Linked DNA regions of Arabidopsis thaliana. The protein of the gene in region 1 binds, or shares a complex with, the protein of each later gene. Each region holds a gene or a part of one and is shown in the gene's direction. Other genes may lie near its edges.

The links. Proteins that work in one complex are often made in the same cells at the same time.
Region 2: TOC34 (region 1) and TOC132 share a complex: the UniProt entries of both Arabidopsis thaliana proteins name them as parts of the TOC core complex.
Region 3: TOC34 (region 1) and TOC159 share a complex: the UniProt entries of both Arabidopsis thaliana proteins name them as parts of the TOC core complex.

Annotation. Positions count from the first base shown.
Region 1 is NC_003076.8:1,473,521-1,478,421, reverse strand, and holds TOC34 (translocon at the outer envelope membrane of chloroplasts 34), read left to right. Parts: upstream 1-1,987; 5' UTR 1,988-2,140; exon of another isoform or gene 2,141-2,633; 5' UTR 2,634-2,649; coding exon 2,650-2,751; intron 2,752-2,838; coding exon 2,839-2,946; intron 2,947-3,047; coding exon 3,048-3,172; intron 3,173-3,274; coding exon 3,275-3,539; intron 3,540-3,630; coding exon 3,631-3,699; intron 3,700-3,791; coding exon 3,792-3,953; intron 3,954-4,049; coding exon 4,050-4,160; 3' UTR 4,161-4,395; downstream 4,396-4,901. Other genes in the region: AT5G05010 (clathrin adaptor complexes medium subunit family protein), read right to left, coding at 161-332, 409-651, 802-1,025, 1,114-1,153, 1,283-1,285; SUN1 (SAD1/UNC-84 domain protein 1), read left to right, coding at 4,652-4,901. UniProt on the Arabidopsis thaliana protein: GTPase involved in protein precursor import into chloroplasts. Seems to recognize chloroplast-destined precursor proteins and regulate their presentation to the translocation channel through GTP hydrolysis.
Region 2 is NC_003071.7:7,210,525-7,217,478, reverse strand, and holds TOC132 (multimeric translocon complex in the outer envelope membrane 132), read left to right. Parts: upstream 1-1,861; 5' UTR 1,862-1,999; exon of another isoform or gene 2,000-2,352; 5' UTR 2,353-2,369; coding exon 2,370-5,990; 3' UTR 5,991-6,085; intron 6,086-6,199; 3' UTR 6,200-6,420; downstream 6,421-6,954. Other genes in the region: PRORP2 (proteinaceous RNase P 2), read left to right, coding at 1-404, 574-675, 774-952, 1,051-1,171, 1,274-1,342, 1,414-1,542; AT2G16630 (Pollen Ole e 1 allergen and extensin family protein), read right to left, coding at 6,607-6,949. UniProt on the Arabidopsis thaliana protein: GTPase involved in protein precursor import into chloroplasts. Seems to recognize chloroplast-destined precursor proteins and regulate their presentation to the translocation channel through GTP hydrolysis.
Region 3 is NC_003075.7:1,102,733-1,110,599, forward strand, and holds the start of TOC159 (translocon at the outer envelope membrane of chloroplasts 159), read left to right. Parts: upstream 1-1,833; 5' UTR 1,834-2,033; coding exon 2,034-2,097; intron 2,098-2,180; coding exon 2,181-6,628; 3' UTR 6,629-6,967; exon of another isoform or gene 6,968-7,034; 3' UTR 7,035-7,071; exon of another isoform or gene 7,072-7,243; 3' UTR 7,244-7,405; intron 7,406-7,548; 3' UTR 7,549-7,633; exon of another isoform or gene 7,634-7,867. Other genes in the region: XT2 (UDP-xylosyltransferase 2), read left to right, coding at 239-613. UniProt on the Arabidopsis thaliana protein: GTPase involved in protein precursor import into chloroplasts. Seems to recognize chloroplast-destined precursor proteins and regulate their presentation to the translocation channel through GTP hydrolysis. Required for chloroplast biogenesis.

The DNA of each region.
Region 1 (4,901 bases):
CACGGTGGATAAGAATTTCAAAACAAAGAGATTATCTAATCGAAATCAAGTATATATATATAGAGGCGCTTAAGAAACCCGAGATGGAAGGGCATTTTGATTTGAATACTTGGGATTGAACGGTCATTTGTGAATGATCCACTAGTTAAAGCACACTAACCTTTTGGTTTGGTATTGATAGGGTCGACATCTGAAATCATGCCAAACCCAGAACCACTTCCATAACCACCGCCGCCACCACTGGATATGCTCAATTCATTGAAACCACTTTCAAGTCTTCCAGATCCCATTGAACCCATGGACGAAAATCCTCCTGGCTTATTCTTTTCAATCTAGGAATTACATAAGAAATATTAATAGGAGTTACAGAAATAGAATACAACAGCAGGGTGCGCTCCTGTCATGTACCTTGCTTTTGTCAATCTCATTAGCCTTACGCTTCATCACGTCCTTAGTGTCATTGATCTTGCTCTGCATAACCAGTTTATGCAACTTCTCCTCATGACTTTCCATTTCACAATACTGCTTCACCTGGGCAACTGTCACACTTTCCTTGTGCCCAAGAGATATGACTTCATCAAATGCAAATATGAGCTCAAAAGATGCCCTGGAAATCCCTTCTTCATCTAAAGACATGGAATACTCAGGTACCTAGAAACAATCAAATGATCAAACAGCACTTGGAACACTCACTTTTCAAAAGAACTAAGAACCAGTACACATCCAGAGTCAAGGCAATAATCTCCTCAAATAAAGTAGCAGAAGTAAAAAAAAAAGAAAGAAAGAAAGAAAGAAGCATACAAGTTTGGAGAGCAAAGTAAGGGTGGCCAGGTCTTCTAGAATGTTACTCTGCTTAGTTGTAACAAGAAGCAGGAACAGAGCTTCAATAGGCTGATAAACATATCGCACATTCTCCGTCTCGATATAGGTATGCTGCTTTCCCATTCCAACCAGCTTAGGAAAAGCTGCAAGTAGACCTTCGATTCTGATACGGGACATATCCACATAGTGTCTGGAAACAATCACTACATAAAAAAGAAGAAAGTTAGAAAAAACGCAAAAATATTGAAAAACGAGAATTCGAAGACAAAGTCAAAGATAGATGAAAATAACCTTTCCCAGACTTGACCACAATGGCAGCAGCAAGCACAACCTATAAAGCACAGGTTCCAACTTTAGAAAACGCGCCAGACACTCATCAAACACTAAAGTTAACACCAAATTGCGAAGATGCACTAAAAAGGAAAAAGAAAAAAACCAATCATAGAACAAAAGTCAATACCATTTTGATTATTCAGGCTCGAACAATCTCGGCGATTATAAGAAAGGTAATGCGAATCTGAAATACAAAGAACCAATGTTAGAGTAAATCCAGTTAGAGCGAGATCAGAAGAAACAAACGGGATTTGATCTTCAGGATCATAAATCACGTAATAGAGGAAGAGATCTCGAATACACGAATCCAAACGAAACTAGACTAGCGAATCGAAAATATAAAAAGAATTCATCGCAGATCCAGCGGATCTACGAGCATCAGAGGCTCATAATCGAAAAACATAACTGTAGAATCAAAATCAACACAAGCGGATCAAATTCATGAAACAGGATCGCGAAATTTAGAAGGAGGAGAAAATTCTTAATAATGGAGATCCACAGAAATGTAGCCAGAGAGAACATTCATTCAAAGGAAAACGAAAATCATCACCATCAGTGAAGGCGAAGAGCGAGAGAACAAGACGATACCTTGGGAGTGATCGAAGGAGATGAAATCACCAGTTTCTTCTTCACAAGCTCGCCGAGTAAAAAAGATGAAACGAGTCTCAGATTAAATCCTGGTGTGTGTGTTAGAGAAAAGACGATCCACAAAACAAGGACAAGTAATCTGGGCCGTTTCAGTTCCTTATTGGGCTTTCCAACCCAGTAAATGGAAGAAAAAATGCCAAAAGGGCAAATTCGTCATTGGTGCAGACCGACGACATTCGGTTTAGTCCGGTTGAATTTTGAAAGGAATGTACTTTCATGTATTGAGATTTGTAGCAATCAATCATCTTCAAAAGTCAATTTCAGTTCTAGGGTTTTAATTTGATACGAGGTCAGCGAATCCGGCGACGAATATCCGCCACTAGTAACTCTAGCTCAGGTAGGTTACTCTCTCTCTCGTTTTCTTTCTTTATCTGGTTTTCACTTCGTCCACTTAGAAGTATGCTCATTTGATAAATTGGCATTTGACCCCAGTTCAGGATTTAGGATTCTGATTATCTCTCAATACTTGATTAGTTTAGTGCTTAAGTTATTAGTTTTTGGTATGCCCACTTGCGCCATGTTCGTTTCTAAAGCAATGAGATTATTTTCATTTAAAGATCTGGAAAAAAGAAACTAATGGAGACAACGGCAAATGAAGATGGATTTTAAGGGTTTTTGTTCTTAGTAAAAAAAAGTTATCTTCTTTTTAATTTTCTGAGACTTTAATTGCTAGAAAGTTATAGGATTGATTCAGATAGTGGAATCAGACAACTTTTTCTTTTATGGGCGATTACTCATTTTTGTTCTTTGGTCTTCTGATTGTTTAGTTTCTTAGCAGATGATTTAGTCTTCTCTTTTGTGATCCTTTTTTGCTTTCCTTGGAAGTGTAGGTAAGGATTTGTGTCCATGGCAGCTTTGCAAACGCTTCGTGAATGGATCGGTATCCAGCAGTTCCCACCTGCTACTCAATCTAAATTGCTCGAGATCCTTGGGAAGTATAAAGAAGAGGTTCCTTTCTTGTTTCTAGCTTCATCTGCTTTCTGTTTGTTTCTTCTTGTCTTAGAGAGATTTAAGAAAGAAAAAAAACTGGTGTAGGATGTGAGCTCGCTAACGGTCCTTGTAATGGGGAAAGGTGGTGTTGGAAAGTCATCAACTGTGAATTCAGTTATAGGCGAGAAAGCTGCTGCAGTTAGTACTTTCCAGGTGCCAAGTTTAATGCTCTTCTCATGGCTTGTCTTTATGACTATTGGCTATCTTTCTTTTAATTTTTCTCATAGAAAGTGTGTGATTTTCCCTCTTTATAGTCTGAAGGACTGAGGCCTACCTTGGTCTCTCGCACAAGATCGGGATTTACATTGAATATCATCGACACTCCTGGTCTTATTGAGGGAGGATATGTGAATGATCAAGCCATCAACATTATAAAACGGTATGATGAACTGTTTCCAGGTCTAAGGAGTTACTCTCCTAATTTGGGGCTCATTTGTGGCATTTGTATTAATTTGGATTCGTGGATGTTGAATTTGAACAGATTTCTCCTCAACATGACTATAGATGTGCTACTATACGTAGACCGTTTGGATGTGTACCGGGTGGATGACCTTGATAGGCAAGTTGTCGGTGCTATAACTGATGCATTTGGTAAAGAGATATGGAAGAAGTCTGCTCTTGTTCTCACCCATGCTCAGTTCTCTCCACCAGACGGGTTAAATTATAACCACTTTGTCTCCAAAAGATCTAATGCTCTTCTAAAAGTTATCCAGACAGGCGCTCAACTGAAGAAACAGGATTTGCAGGTATAGTTTTTTCCTCCTTACATAAATGTCTGTAACGACCTTGATAGTAGTCAAGTTAATAGACTCACTTACCTCTGATCTTTTATTGTAGGGTTTTTCTATTCCTGTCATTCTTGTTGAGAACAGCGGAAGATGCCATAAGAACGAAAGCGATGAAAAGGTCAGTTGATTGGTTTTGTCCACGTTCTCTTTTTCTCGCGTCTTGTAGTAGTTGGACCAATCTTGAAGTCGGATTTTCCAAATTTGTGACAGATTCTTCCATGCGGGACTAGTTGGATTCCCAATCTGTTCAACAAAATCACAGAGATCTCTTTTAATGGCAACAAGGCGATTCATGTTGACAAGAAACTGGTCGAAGGGCCAAACCCAAACGAAAGAGGAAAAAAACTGATTCCTTTAATGTTTGCATTCCAAGTAAGCCCCTCTGAACCATTCAGTAACAATACAGAATAAGGCTTGATCAAAACATCATGCATCATTTATTCATCTTTTGATGGTTTGAAAATGCAGTACTTGCTGGTGATGAAGCCATTGGTTCGAGCAATCAAGTCCGATGTTTCGAGAGAGAGTAAACCGGCGTGGGAGCTGCGAGACTCCGGTTTAGCAAGTCGAAGGTCTTGAGTTGTGGACACGAGTTTTGTTTGGTTTGTTTGTCTATCTGAGAGATTGTTCTGTAGTTGAAATTGTGATACAACTCGAGAAATGTGGTTCACAGATAATTACTGTCGCAAAGTTCTCTCATCTTAATTACATCTTCTTTAGCCTCTCGTAAATCGTAATTAAGAGCTACTCTCTTGGTGAAAATGATTAGAAGAGATAATTCCATTTTGTCATTAATGGTAAAAGTAACCGCTGCAGTTATTTTTGACGCGATGCAAGTTTTGAAATAAAATAAAAATTTGAGTTAAAGAAAAAAAAAACCGATGTTTAAAGGAGGAATTTGGCAAACGGAGAAGACGGTTCAGAGAAGATCGTTTACTCTTTCCTCAATTTCGAACAAAGTTTTCGAATTTTCCAACTCTCTCTAGTGAATTTAGGGTTCTGATTTCGACATTAGTGTAAAGATTTGTTTTTTATCCGAGGGGTGCGATTGTGTAGTCAAACCAGATCAAATGTCGGCATCAACGGTGTCGATCACCGCTAATACGGCGGCAGCGACTAGACGGACGCCGATTCTTGCCGGAGAGAAAAAATCAAACTTTGATTACCCTCAAAGCGAATCGCTTGCGAACGGTGGTGTTGGGGAAGCCGGTGGTACGAGTAGAGATCTGAGCCGCGGTGAAGCTACCCTTGATCGATCTCAGGGACAAGATTTGGGTCCTGTGACGAGAAGGTCTGTTTCCGCTGCGACGGGGACTAATA
Region 2 (6,954 bases), on another chromosome or scaffold:
GTCGAGAAAACAAGGTTTATAGATATTTACATAAGTTGAGGGAATATGTTGGCTGCGTTAGTGAAGAAACTTTGAAAATTATTGAGGAATGGTTCTGTGGAGAAAAAGCTGGTGAGGTTGGTGATAATGGAATTGGTTCTGATGTTGGGATGCTTAGAGAAGCTGTTTTGAATAATGGAGGTGGGTGGCACGGGCATGGGTGGGTTGGGGAGGGTAAATGGACTGTAAAGAAAGGTAATGTTAGCTCAACAGGAAGATGTTTGAGCTGCAGTGAGCAGTTAGCTTGTGTAGATACCAATGAGGTAGAAACACAGAAGTTTGTGGATTCTTTGGTGGCTTTGGCTATGGATAGGAAGACAAAGATGAATTCATGTGAGACAAATGTGGTCTTCAGCGAGTTTCAGGTTAGAGATGGGATTCTCTTAGCTTGGTTATAATAAGTCTTGGACATTAAATATTGCATGATAAGCATTTAGAGATAGGTACACTGGTTGGAGTTTTTGCTGCGAATTGTCATCAATCTTGAGTATTCAAATGTCGATATTTGTTGAATGTTGCTATCTTATTTGGCAGGACTGGCTTGAGAAACATGGAGATTACGAAGCTATAGTAGATGGAGCAAATATTGGGCTCTACCAACAAAATTTTGTAGATGGCAGTTTCAGTCTTTCACAGGTTCTCCCATCTTTTCTGGGGTACTTGTTTTTCTTCCTCCATATTTTTAGAATCCATTCCTTGCTATACTGATATCACATACATGTGGGATAGAGCAGCTTGAATCTGTGATGAAGGAACTTTACCGTGAAAGTGGTAATAACAAATGGCCCCTAATTCTATTGCACAAGAGACGGGTCAAGACGCTTTTAGAAAACCCAACTCACCGGAATCTGGTTGAAGAATGGATTAGTAACGGTGTCCTGTATGCAACTCCACCAGGTTCCAATGATGATTGGTATGAACTTTTAGCTTCTCTCAGCACCATTATTTCGACAAAAAACACAAACAATGTTTGGTTACTACACTCATCTTTTGTTTTTTTTACCTTTCCAGGTATTGGCTGTATGCTGCTGCTAAGCTCAAGTGTTTGCTTGTGACAAATGATGAGATGAGAGACCACATTTTTGAACTCTTAGGGAGTACTTTTTTCCAAAAGTGGAAAGAAAGACATCAGGTAAAGTTATATAAACTTATATACAATATGTAACTTTTTATACTAAAAGTGCAACTTTGAGAAGTCTACAATTAGAACATTTGGTTTATGGTTTTGGTACAGGTCCGGTATACTTTTGTGAAAGGTAACCTGAAGCTTGAAATGCCGTCTCCTTTTTCGGTTGTCATTCAGGTTTGTTTACCATCTCAGTCCTTTTTTTCTCCGGTTTCGATAGTTTCTCAATTACGTTTCGACAAAATCAGGAATCAGAGAAAGGGTCATGGCATTTCCCGGTCTCATGCGAAAACAATGAAGAGTCTTCAAGAACTTGGATGTGTATTAGCAGACAAAGTATTTTAGATTCACCTAAGAGTAATGGGAAGATTCCTTAGTAGCTGCACCAGCTTATTGAGTTCATGTATCATTTGTTATGAGTTTTCATTCTTTGTCCTTTGAAGATTAACACAAAAAACGTTCATTGGTTCTATAATAAGGGACTGAACTTTTCTCATTAGAAAGAACACAAAAAATTGTAGTAGACCAAACCGAATCAGACCGGGTTGGTTAAACCGAATTGACGCACGAGGGTTTTCTATTCCCTTTCACGGCTTCACTCACTCTACTTTATATAGTCCACGTCAGCATCATTTCACGATTGCATCAACGAGTCATTATCAACCGTACGATGCTTAAACCCAAACTGATCAGGACCGTTGATGAACGTCTCTTATCTCCTTCCCCGTCGTAGTCGCAGGCTCGCAGCCGGTAAAGCGCATGAAAGGATCTTCACACTTTTTCACCTTCTCTCTATTTCTCTCTCTCTCTCTCTCTCTCTATCTCTAACTTCTGGTAAGGCTTCTCTCCATTTCTCTTCTTCTTTCTTCGTCTTCTTTCTTCTGTTTTGGTTTTCGTTTCCTGTAATCAACAAAGTTCTTCTTCCATGTTTGGAGATCCCTATCACCGCTTAGACCTGTGTTTAAGCGATTTGGTTAACTTCAATTGAATTTTAGTTTCTGGAATTGGTAAGGGATAAGGATTCTAGGATTCGTGGTGATTAACTCTGATCTAGGTTTCTTTTAGCTGTGTGCTCGTTTTTTTTTTTTTTTGGTTGTTGGAATTTATATTGATGGTTAAAGCGTAGTTGGTAATTGGAGTGATTTCTGATCTCTGATTATTGTATTTGTGGCTTTTGTTTCCCGTAGCGGTGGTGATCTAGAAAATGGGAGATGGGACTGAGTTTGTGGTTAGGTCAGATAGGGAAGATAAGAAGCTTGCTGAGGATAGAATTAGTGATGAGCAAGTAGTGAAGAATGAGTTGGTGAGATCTGATGAAGTAAGGGATGATAACGAGGACGAGGTTTTTGAGGAAGCGATTGGTTCAGAGAATGATGAGCAGGAGGAGGAGGAGGATCCAAAACGTGAATTGTTTGAATCTGATGATTTGCCTTTAGTGGAAACTCTTAAAAGTTCTATGGTTGAGCATGAAGTGGAGGATTTTGAAGAGGCAGTGGGTGATTTGGATGAAACGAGTAGCAATGAAGGGGGTGTTAAAGATTTTACGGCTGTTGGAGAGAGCCATGGTGCGGGAGAGGCTGAATTTGATGTTTTGGCTACTAAAATGAATGGTGATAAGGGGGAAGGAGGTGGAGGTGGTTCTTATGATAAAGTTGAATCGAGCTTGGATGTTGTTGATACCACTGAGAATGCTACATCAACTAATACTAATGGTTCCAATTTAGCAGCTGAGCATGTGGGTATTGAAAACGGAAAGACTCATTCTTTTTTGGGAAATGGAATCGCCTCTCCTAAAAATAAAGAAGTGGTGGCTGAAGTTATCCCTAAAGATGATGGGATTGAGGAACCATGGAATGATGGCATTGAAGTCGATAATTGGGAGGAAAGAGTTGATGGCATACAGACAGAACAAGAGGTTGAGGAAGGTGAAGGAACAACTGAAAATCAATTTGAGAAACGGACAGAAGAAGAGGTTGTAGAAGGTGAAGGAACAAGTAAGAATCTATTTGAGAAACAGACAGAACAAGATGTTGTGGAAGGTGAAGGAACAAGTAAGGATCTATTTGAGAATGGTTCAGTATGTATGGACAGTGAGTCCGAGGCAGAAAGAAATGGTGAGACTGGTGCCGCCTACACAAGTAATATCGTTACTAATGCTTCAGGTGACAATGAAGTATCAAGTGCTGTGACTTCATCTCCATTGGAGGAATCTAGTTCCGGGGAAAAGGGAGAGACTGAAGGGGACAGTACTTGTTTAAAACCAGAGCAACACTTGGCTTCTTCGCCGCACTCATATCCTGAGTCAACTGAAGTTCACAGCAATAGTGGCTCCCCTGGGGTAACTAGTAGAGAACACAAACCAGTTCAAAGTGCTAATGGAGGACATGATGTTCAGAGTCCTCAACCAAATAAGGAGCTTGAGAAGCAGCAAAGCAGCAGAGTACATGTAGATCCAGAGATTACAGAAAATTCACATGTGGAAACAGAACCTGAGGTAGTAAGTTCTGTTTCACCAACAGAGTCTAGAAGTAATCCTGCGGCATTACCACCTGCTCGTCCAGCAGGTCTTGGTCGTGCTTCTCCTCTTTTGGAACCTGCATCACGTGCTCCTCAACAGTCTCGCGTCAATGGGAATGGGTCTCACAATCAGTTTCAGCAAGCTGAAGACTCTACCACTACAGAGGCTGATGAGCATGATGAGACCCGCGAGAAGCTCCAGTTGATCAGGGTAAAATTTTTGAGGCTTGCACATAGACTAGGGCAAACCCCGCATAATGTTGTTGTTGCTCAGGTTTTATACAGGCTTGGATTGGCTGAGCAGTTGAGGGGCAGAAATGGAAGCCGTGTTGGTGCTTTTAGTTTTGATCGCGCTAGTGCCATGGCAGAACAGCTTGAGGCTGCTGGACAGGATCCACTTGATTTTTCTTGTACGATTATGGTTCTCGGAAAAAGTGGGGTTGGTAAAAGTGCAACGATCAATTCTATATTTGATGAAGTGAAATTTTGTACTGATGCATTCCAGATGGGGACAAAGAGGGTTCAAGATGTTGAGGGTTTGGTTCAGGGAATTAAGGTACGGGTGATTGACACTCCCGGTCTCTTACCTTCCTGGTCTGATCAAGCCAAGAATGAGAAGATCCTGAATTCTGTTAAGGCTTTCATCAAGAAGAATCCACCTGACATTGTACTATATCTTGATAGGTTGGATATGCAAAGCAGAGATTCTGGTGACATGCCTCTCCTGCGCACCATAAGTGATGTTTTTGGTCCTTCGATATGGTTTAATGCCATTGTGGGTTTGACTCATGCCGCTTCTGTTCCACCAGATGGCCCAAATGGCACTGCTTCTAGCTATGATATGTTTGTTACACAACGTTCTCATGTCATCCAGCAGGCCATTCGCCAAGCAGCTGGAGATATGAGGCTCATGAACCCTGTTTCTTTAGTTGAGAATCACTCAGCTTGCAGGACTAATCGGGCAGGCCAGAGAGTATTACCGAATGGCCAAGTGTGGAAGCCACATTTGTTGCTACTCTCATTTGCATCTAAGATTCTAGCAGAAGCAAATGCTCTTTTGAAGTTGCAAGATAATATTCCAGGGAGACCATTTGCAGCTCGGTCCAAGGCTCCGCCATTACCATTTCTCCTTTCATCGCTTCTGCAATCAAGACCACAACCTAAGCTTCCTGAACAGCAGTATGGTGATGAAGAAGATGAAGATGATTTAGAAGAATCATCAGATTCAGACGAAGAATCAGAGTATGATCAGCTTCCTCCGTTTAAGAGTTTGACTAAAGCTCAGATGGCTACGCTTAGTAAATCTCAGAAGAAGCAGTATCTCGATGAAATGGAGTACCGAGAGAAACTTTTAATGAAGAAGCAAATGAAAGAGGAAAGAAAGAGACGTAAGATGTTTAAGAAATTTGCTGCAGAGATTAAAGATTTGCCTGATGGGTATAGTGAAAATGTGGAAGAGGAGAGTGGTGGACCTGCATCAGTTCCAGTTCCTATGCCAGATTTATCTCTACCTGCGTCTTTTGACTCTGATAACCCTACTCACCGCTACCGGTACCTTGATTCCTCCAATCAGTGGCTTGTTAGGCCAGTCCTGGAAACTCATGGGTGGGATCATGATATTGGTTATGAAGGTGTGAATGCAGAACGGCTCTTTGTTGTAAAAGAAAAAATACCAATATCTGTCTCAGGTCAAGTGACAAAAGACAAGAAGGATGCAAATGTGCAGCTAGAAATGGCCAGCTCGGTTAAACATGGAGAGGGTAAATCAACTTCCCTAGGTTTCGACATGCAAACTGTTGGAAAGGAATTGGCTTATACTCTTCGAAGCGAAACGAGATTTAACAATTTCAGGAGAAACAAGGCTGCAGCTGGTCTTTCTGTAACACACTTGGGTGATTCGGTTTCTGCGGGGTTGAAAGTCGAAGATAAGTTTATTGCTAGTAAATGGTTCAGAATCGTAATGTCTGGTGGAGCTATGACTAGTCGGGGAGATTTTGCTTATGGTGGTACTTTGGAAGCTCAGTTGAGAGATAAAGATTATCCGCTTGGTCGGTTTTTGACTACTCTTGGACTTTCTGTAATGGATTGGCACGGTGATCTTGCTATTGGAGGGAACATACAGTCTCAGGTTCCCATTGGACGTTCCTCTAATTTAATTGCTCGTGCTAATCTGAACAATAGAGGAGCAGGGCAAGTAAGTGTTCGTGTTAACAGCTCCGAGCAGCTCCAACTTGCTATGGTTGCGATTGTTCCTCTCTTCAAGAAGCTACTTAGTTATTATTACCCGCAAACGCAATATGGACAATGATTAAGAAACATTTAGGCTGATTTCACTTCCATCCCTTTGCACTGGAGTATTAGGAATCGATTAGTCACAAGAACATGTTAGAGTGAGTTGAAAAGGTACACAATCTGATCTCTATATCTTACTGTGATTACTGATTTCGATATTTTCGTTTTCTTGGAAACCCTCTTAATGGATTTTGCTGAGCGTTGATGTGCTTTGGTTTTGAACAGGATCTGTCTGGTAGCAAGAGACCAATTGTTGGAGGAAAGTTTGTGTCTTGAAATAGCCAGAACATAACACGTTCCTTGTCTGATATATAATAGCTCAGTGGTTTGTTTTTCTTCTATTTCTAAGACCTTGTGATCTCCCTTATGAATGAAGCATATCTACTTTTGTTCATGTCCCTCTCCAATCATTGATGCATTATATCATAACAACATTTAGTGCTCACAGTGCTAGAACGTTAGGCTTTGTAACAACTAAGTTTAATGCCGAGTATAAATAGGGATACAATAATAGTCCATAAATTCTCCAATGAATCCAGGTATAGACTTTTATAGTATTACAAAAGGACCCAAGAACAATGTAAAAGAGAAAGAAAGAGTGTAGAGTATATAAGTATTGAAAACACATTCAATCAATTGCAGACTGTGAATCTGCAGGTCCCGGAATTAGCCTTGATGAAACGAATAGCAGTCATGAGGACATCGTGTTCCGAATTCCCGAGGAGAGCCAGATTGGTATATGTGATCACAGCGACGGAATTATAAGGAAATCCTAGAGAGTTGTATGAATTGAGCAATGCAGTTGTTGCCTCTCTTAGAAGTGTCTTATAGGCTTCTCCTCGCCCGTCAAGCGCTTCTCGTACTGTCATATCTGTGCCGTATATTCTCCCGGCTACTAGCCCAAATGCAACTGCGACCTTTGTGTCTGGACCTATCGCCCTCCAGTAGCATCTGTACTCAGGTTTCATCCACAACCTATA
Region 3 (7,867 bases), on another chromosome or scaffold:
ATTTGGAAACTTGTGGTTTGCTTGTTGTGGTTTATCATGTCTCTTGAACATCAAAAATAACAATGTGAGTTGCTTTTTGTGGTTTATCATGTCTCTTGATCATCAAAAATGACAATGTGAGTTGCATCTTGTGGTTTCTGACATCTGTGTAAGGGTCTATTATTGAAGTAAACTCAAATCTTTGCTTGGTTTGGATTTTGTTGAGCTACTCATTTGAGCCACTGCATTGTTGTTATAGGTGTACCTAGAAAGTGGATACTATCTTCACGGTTACTGGGGGATTCTTGTGGACAGATATGAAGAAATGATAGAAAACTACCACCCGGGTCTAGGAGATCACAGATGGCCATTGGTGACTCACTTTGTCGGTTGCAAACCGTGTGGGAAATTTGGTGATTACCCGGTGGAACGGTGTCTAAAACAAATGGACAGAGCCTTTAACTTTGGAGATAACCAGATTCTGCAAATCTATGGTTTCACTCACAAATCTTTGGCTAGTCGTAAAGTCAAGAGAGTGCGGAACGAGACTAGCAATCCGTTGGAGATGAAAGACGAGCTCGGGTTGCTTCATCCGGCGTTTAAGGCGGTTAAGGTACAAACCAATCAAGTTTGAATCGGTTTTGCGTTTAGGATTTGTGTTATGTTTCTCGCTATATTTATGTCTTGTGTCTTTGCTTGTTGTTGTACTAAGATGGATGATAAAGTATTGTGCAGAGACATCAGTTAATTCTTTGGTTTTACTTTGTCTCTACGTCTAGAGTTCTATTACGAAATCAAAATGTTGTTTTTCTTCCTTTTTGTTCTTTGTAATCCATTAGAACTTGAGATTTTGTAGCTTCATGGATCAATAATCTGTGTTAATTCAAGAACTTTTTTTTAACCTGATTTCACATTCAACTAATTATTTACTTTTAGTATGCAAAATGTGAAAAAATCACATTGAGTTAGTATAGTTCTGAGATCATATTCACAAGTTTTGTGTAGTTTAGGAGTTTAATTCGAAAAACAAAATTTGGCATGTGGTCAGATTCTTTTGCAGTATGGGTTGTTGTATCTGAAATCTGAATGTCTTTAATTGATAATAAAATCATGTATACGGGCTATTATTAGGGGGAGGCCTTATAAAAGCCCATCTGAAAACTAAAATCACGGCCTAATATATGGAATCCGTGTTATACAAAAATCCAAGATAATTCGTAGATAATGGTGAGAAAATCGTTTGTGGCCAAGCAATTTCGGGTAGGGAGGATCAACAAAGATACAAAAAAGATTTCTTTCTTCTTTATAAAACCCAAATCTCAAAATGTTATCTCGTTTTTTATTTTAAATGTTTTATTTTATTTTGTTGTTGTGTGGTTTTTTTGGTTTTTAGTAAAGAGAAGATATAACAAAACCCTAATTCTCATGAGTTCAAAAACCCTAGATTTAGTGAGCCCATCAAAACATTTTCCATTGGGGAAGATTTTAACATTTGGAGAATTGTGCATAATAAAAACAAAATATTAAACAGTAAATACTTTCCAAAAAGTGACTAAAATATTCTAAATTTACTCAACAAAAATTGAAAATTCTTGACAAAAAAATTACTGTTTTTTAAAATGATACAATGTTTTTCAAATTTTAACCACAAATGATTATTGTACTTCTTCCTCAAATAAAAAAAGAAACTCTATATATTTTGGCTTGAGCCAATGAAGCGACACAGTTTAAAGCGTAGCACAAAAGAGAGCCCTCTTGGAAACTTCACCAACATAGAAGCGAGGGTAATTCGGTAATTTCATCATCATCCTCAAAACACAAACTGAGAAGATAAAATCCCAAGGCAAAGAAGAAAAACGAAGAGTCATTTTTTGTTCGCCGAGTGACCTTATCTCTCCCAATTCTCTCTTCTTCAAAAGAGAGAGAGCAGCCAAATTCTCAATCATAAAAACCTTCACACAAAAAAGGGTAAATTCCTTTAAACCCTATCTATCTATCGCTATCTCCTTCCTCCACAAGTTTGGCGGAGAAAGAGTCTCAGTAGCAAAGCGGAAATGGACTCAAAGTCGGTTACTCCAGAACCAACCAACCCCTTCTACGCTTCTTCGGGGCAATCAGGTTTTTCTTCTTTCTCGTTTATATCTTCTTTAATCTGCGTTTTTGGGAATAGGGTTTTAATCGGAAGGATATTTTGTTATCAGGAAAAACCTATGCTTCTGTTGTCGCCGCCGCTGCTGCTGCAGCCGCCGATAAGGAGGATGGTGGTGCTGTGAGTAGTGCCAAGGAGTTGGATTCCTCATCGGAGGCTGTGTCTGGTAATTCGGATAAGGTTGGAGCTGATGATTTATCTGACTCCGAGAAGGAGAAGCCGAATTTGGTGGGTGATGGGAAGGTTTCCGACGAGGTGGATGGTTCTTTAAAGGAGGATTCTACTACTCCTGAGGCTACTCCGAAGCCTGAGGTGGTTTCTGGTGAGACAATTGGTGTAGATGATGTTTCATCGTTATCTCCGAAGCCGGAGGCTGTTTCTGATGGTGTAGGGGTTGTGGAGGAGAATAAGAAGGTTAAGGAGGACGTGGAGGATATTAAAGACGATGGTGAGAGTAAGATTGAAAATGGGAGTGTTGATGTTGATGTGAAACAGGCTTCCACAGATGGGGAGAGTGAGAGTAAAGTGAAGGATGTGGAAGAAGAAGATGTTGGAACAAAAAAAGATGATGAGGGGGAGAGTGAGTTGGGTGGAAAAGTTGATGTTGACGATAAAAGTGATAATGTTATTGAAGAAGAGGGTGTGGAGTTAACTGATAAAGGAGACGTCATTGTGAACTCGTCCCCTGTAGAATCAGTGCATGTTGATGTGGCAAAACCAGGGGTGGTTGTTGTAGGAGACGCAGAGGGAAGTGAGGAGTTGAAGATTAATGCTGATGCTGAAACTCTTGAAGTGGCTAATAAGTTTGATCAAATTGGGGATGATGATAGTGGTGAATTTGAACCTGTGTCTGACAAGGCCATTGAGGAGGTAGAAGAAAAATTTACTAGCGAATCAGACTCTATTGCAGACTCCTCTAAGTTAGAATCTGTGGATACCAGTGCTGTAGAGCCAGAGGTTGTAGCTGCCGAGAGTGGGAGTGAACCAAAGGATGTGGAAAAAGCCAACGGATTGGAGAAGGGTATGACTTATGCTGAAGTAATCAAGGCAGCTAGTGCAGTAGCTGACAATGGAACCAAAGAGGAGGAGAGTGTGCTCGGTGGCATAGTCGATGATGCAGAAGAAGGTGTTAAGTTAAACAACAAAGGAGACTTTGTGGTGGACTCATCTGCTATTGAAGCTGTGAATGTAGATGTGGCAAAGCCAGGGGTTGTTGTTGTTGGAGACGTAGAGGTGAGTGAGGTGCTGGAAACTGATGGCAACATCCCTGATGTGCATAATAAGTTTGATCCAATTGGCCAAGGTGAAGGTGGTGAAGTTGAACTTGAATCCGATAAAGCCACAGAGGAGGGAGGAGGAAAGTTGGTTAGTGAAGGAGACTCTATGGTTGACTCCTCTGTGGTGGACTCTGTTGATGCTGATATCAATGTTGCAGAGCCAGGGGTTGTGGTTGTCGGGGCGGCTAAGGAGGCTGTAATTAAGGAAGATGATAAAGATGATGAGGTTGACAAGACCATCTCAAATATTGAGGAACCTGATGACCTGACTGCTGCATATGATGGAAATTTTGAATTGGCTGTTAAGGAAATATCAGAGGCTGCCAAAGTAGAGCCAGACGAACCAAAAGTAGGTGTGGAAGTAGAAGAATTGCCTGTTTCTGAAAGTTTAAAAGTGGGTTCAGTTGATGCAGAAGAGGATTCAATTCCTGCAGCTGAGTCACAGTTTGAGGTTCGGAAAGTTGTCGAAGGGGACAGTGCTGAAGAGGATGAAAACAAGCTCCCAGTCGAAGACATTGTTTCTTCTCGTGAGTTTAGCTTTGGAGGCAAGGAAGTGGACCAGGAACCTTCTGGCGAAGGTGTTACCAGGGTTGATGGGTCTGAAAGTGAAGAAGAAACTGAAGAGATGATATTTGGGAGTTCTGAAGCTGCAAAACAGTTCTTAGCAGAGTTGGAAAAGGCTTCTTCTGGTATAGAGGCACATTCTGATGAAGCAAACATTTCTAACAATATGTCAGATAGGATTGATGGCCAGATTGTCACCGATTCTGACGAGGATGTAGACACAGAGGATGAAGGTGAGGAGAAAATGTTTGATACTGCAGCTTTGGCTGCGCTTTTGAAGGCAGCCACTGGTGGTGGAAGTTCAGAAGGTGGCAATTTTACCATAACATCTCAGGATGGCACGAAGCTTTTCTCTATGGATCGACCTGCTGGTTTGAGTTCATCGTTAAGGCCCTTGAAGCCTGCAGCAGCTCCACGTGCAAACCGTTCCAACATCTTTTCCAATTCTAATGTCACAATGGCAGATGAGACTGAGATTAACTTGAGCGAGGAAGAGAAACAGAAATTAGAAAAGTTGCAAAGCCTCCGTGTGAAGTTTTTGCGGCTTTTGCAAAGGTTGGGTCATTCGGCAGAAGATTCAATTGCAGCGCAGGTTCTTTACCGTCTTGCACTACTTGCTGGGAGACAAGCAGGGCAGTTATTCAGTCTTGATGCTGCAAAGAAGAAGGCTGTGGAGTCTGAGGCTGAGGGCAACGAAGAATTGATCTTCTCCCTAAACATACTGGTCCTTGGAAAAGCCGGGGTGGGAAAAAGTGCTACTATAAATTCCATTTTGGGAAACCAGATTGCGTCCATTGATGCTTTTGGGCTCTCAACCACTTCGGTTAGAGAAATTTCTGGAACGGTGAATGGTGTCAAGATTACCTTTATTGATACTCCGGGTTTGAAGTCTGCTGCGATGGATCAAAGTACAAATGCAAAAATGTTGTCCTCTGTAAAGAAGGTAATGAAGAAGTGTCCCCCTGATATTGTACTATATGTAGATCGTCTTGACACCCAGACCAGGGACTTGAACAATTTGCCCTTGCTAAGGACGATTACTGCTTCTCTTGGTACATCCATATGGAAAAACGCTATAGTGACATTGACCCATGCGGCTTCTGCCCCTCCTGATGGCCCATCTGGCACCCCATTGAGCTATGATGTGTTTGTAGCGCAGTGCTCACATATTGTGCAACAGTCTATAGGACAGGCTGTTGGAGATCTACGCTTGATGAATCCAAGTCTGATGAATCCAGTTTCACTTGTTGAGAATCACCCCTTGTGTAGGAAGAACCGGGAGGGAGTGAAGGTTCTCCCGAATGGCCAAACTTGGAGATCTCAGCTGTTGCTATTGTGTTACTCCCTGAAGGTTTTGTCAGAAACAAATTCTCTATTGAGGCCTCAAGAACCATTGGACCATCGTAAAGTATTTGGTTTCCGAGTTAGATCCCCGCCTCTCCCTTACTTGTTGTCTTGGCTGTTGCAGTCCCGTGCACATCCTAAGCTCCCTGGAGACCAAGGTGGTGATAGTGTTGACTCTGATATCGAAATTGATGATGTGTCTGATTCTGAGCAGGAAGATGGGGAAGATGATGAGTATGACCAGCTGCCACCATTTAAGCCTCTTCGAAAAACCCAACTTGCAAAGCTCTCAAATGAACAGAGAAAGGCATATTTCGAGGAGTATGATTACCGTGTAAAGCTCCTGCAGAAGAAGCAATGGAGAGAGGAATTAAAGAGGATGAAAGAAATGAAGAAAAACGGGAAGAAGCTGGGTGAAAGTGAGTTTGGTTATCCGGGAGAAGAAGATGATCCAGAAAACGGGGCTCCAGCTGCAGTGCCAGTTCCATTACCCGATATGGTTTTGCCACCTTCATTTGATAGTGATAACTCAGCTTACCGATACCGATATCTGGAACCCACTTCACAACTCCTAACCAGGCCAGTGTTGGATACCCATGGTTGGGACCATGACTGTGGATATGACGGCGTCAATGCAGAACACAGTCTTGCTCTAGCTAGCCGGTTCCCTGCCACAGCTACTGTCCAAGTCACCAAGGACAAGAAAGAGTTCAACATTCATCTGGACTCCTCTGTGTCTGCTAAGCACGGGGAGAATGGATCCACCATGGCAGGGTTCGATATTCAGAATGTAGGCAAGCAGCTGGCATATGTGGTCAGAGGAGAAACCAAATTCAAGAATTTGAGGAAGAACAAGACAACTGTTGGAGGGTCAGTGACATTCTTGGGAGAGAACATCGCCACTGGGGTCAAACTCGAGGACCAAATAGCACTGGGGAAAAGGTTGGTGCTTGTGGGCAGCACTGGGACAATGCGATCACAGGGAGATTCGGCCTATGGTGCGAACCTCGAGGTCAGGCTTAGGGAAGCTGATTTCCCAATTGGACAGGACCAATCTTCTTTTGGGCTGTCTCTGGTAAAGTGGAGAGGCGATTTAGCCCTTGGAGCCAATCTCCAATCTCAAGTCTCTGTTGGAAGGAACTCAAAGATTGCGCTTCGTGCAGGACTTAACAACAAGATGAGCGGACAGATCACAGTCAGAACCAGCAGCTCGGATCAGTTGCAAATCGCTCTCACAGCCATTCTTCCAATTGCCATGTCCATCTACAAGAGCATTCGACCCGAAGCGACGAACGACAAGTACAGCATGTACTAAATATGCTGATGAATGCTGCAGAATGATCTTTTCTTTTATTACTGGTTTTTAGTTCATGTTTTTCCCCCACTTTAATAAAAACTTTGTTGAAGTTTATCAAAGTTGTATTTTGGTTCTGTTGAGAGGTTCCCATCGGATTTAATTTATCATGTATCAGTAATTCTTCACTTTCATTAGCCCTTCTCAGCTTCTCTTGCTGTTCTTCAGATAATGGAATCTAGTTCAGTCTTCTTTTGGTCTACGTCTCATGCTAATGATGTTGCTTGGTTTGAGTTTGCTAATTTGTTACTAAATTTCTGCAGAAGATACAAATCACTCGGTGAAGAATCTTTAAAGCAGGTGCGTAGCCTGTAACTGTTGATAAGATTTTGTACTAGAACCCTCATCTCATTGTGTTCTTCACCAGGATCTTACTGTTCTTCCTTGGTCCCTTGAAGGCAATGGTATGTTTTTTATAAAAATGCTTTGTAATAGATTTTCATTCTTATATAATATCTGGAAACTATTGGAGTATCGTGGTGAAGTAAACTTGATGATACTAGCAGACAAAACTCCGAATAAAGGATATTTCTTGGTGGACTTAATCTTTATGGTTTATGTGAATATTTGATGTAGCAAAGCCTCTAACTTAAAGGATGACCAGAGTCTGCAAATATATGGCTGGCTTTACTCGCAATTCTTTGGGTAGCCACAAAGTCATCAGAGTAATGAGACGAGCAAACAGTTGGAGATAAACACTAGGTGGACTTTCTTCACCCTGCGTTTACGGCGGTCAAGGTACAAAATTGATGGTGAAAAACACAAACTTGCTGCTCTAACCGTTTCTGTTATTTATAGAGAGGTGAATAGGTCCAGAAATCTGATGTGTTTTGTTTTGTCTGATTTGAAGCTTACGTCTATATTTTACTTGTCATTTTCAGACATGACAAAGCAAGGAAACTTTAAGGATAAGAACGTTCAAAGTCTTCTTAAGTCAACTTCTTTCGCCAGGAGAAACGTTCCAAAGTAAGATTTCCACCAGACTAAAGTCCTTACATACTATTCTCACTAGTCAGTATCTCCATAGTTAAGACATCGCAATCTTTGCATTAGTTAACTAATTGATTTATTTTAGAATAGCTTGAAGATTAGATAAATAGTTTTTGCCAAAGATACTCTCAAGAGCATACACACACACTCACATAACTGAAAGAAAACAGAGGATACAACAGAAAGAAAGTACTGAGAAATTGGGCAATG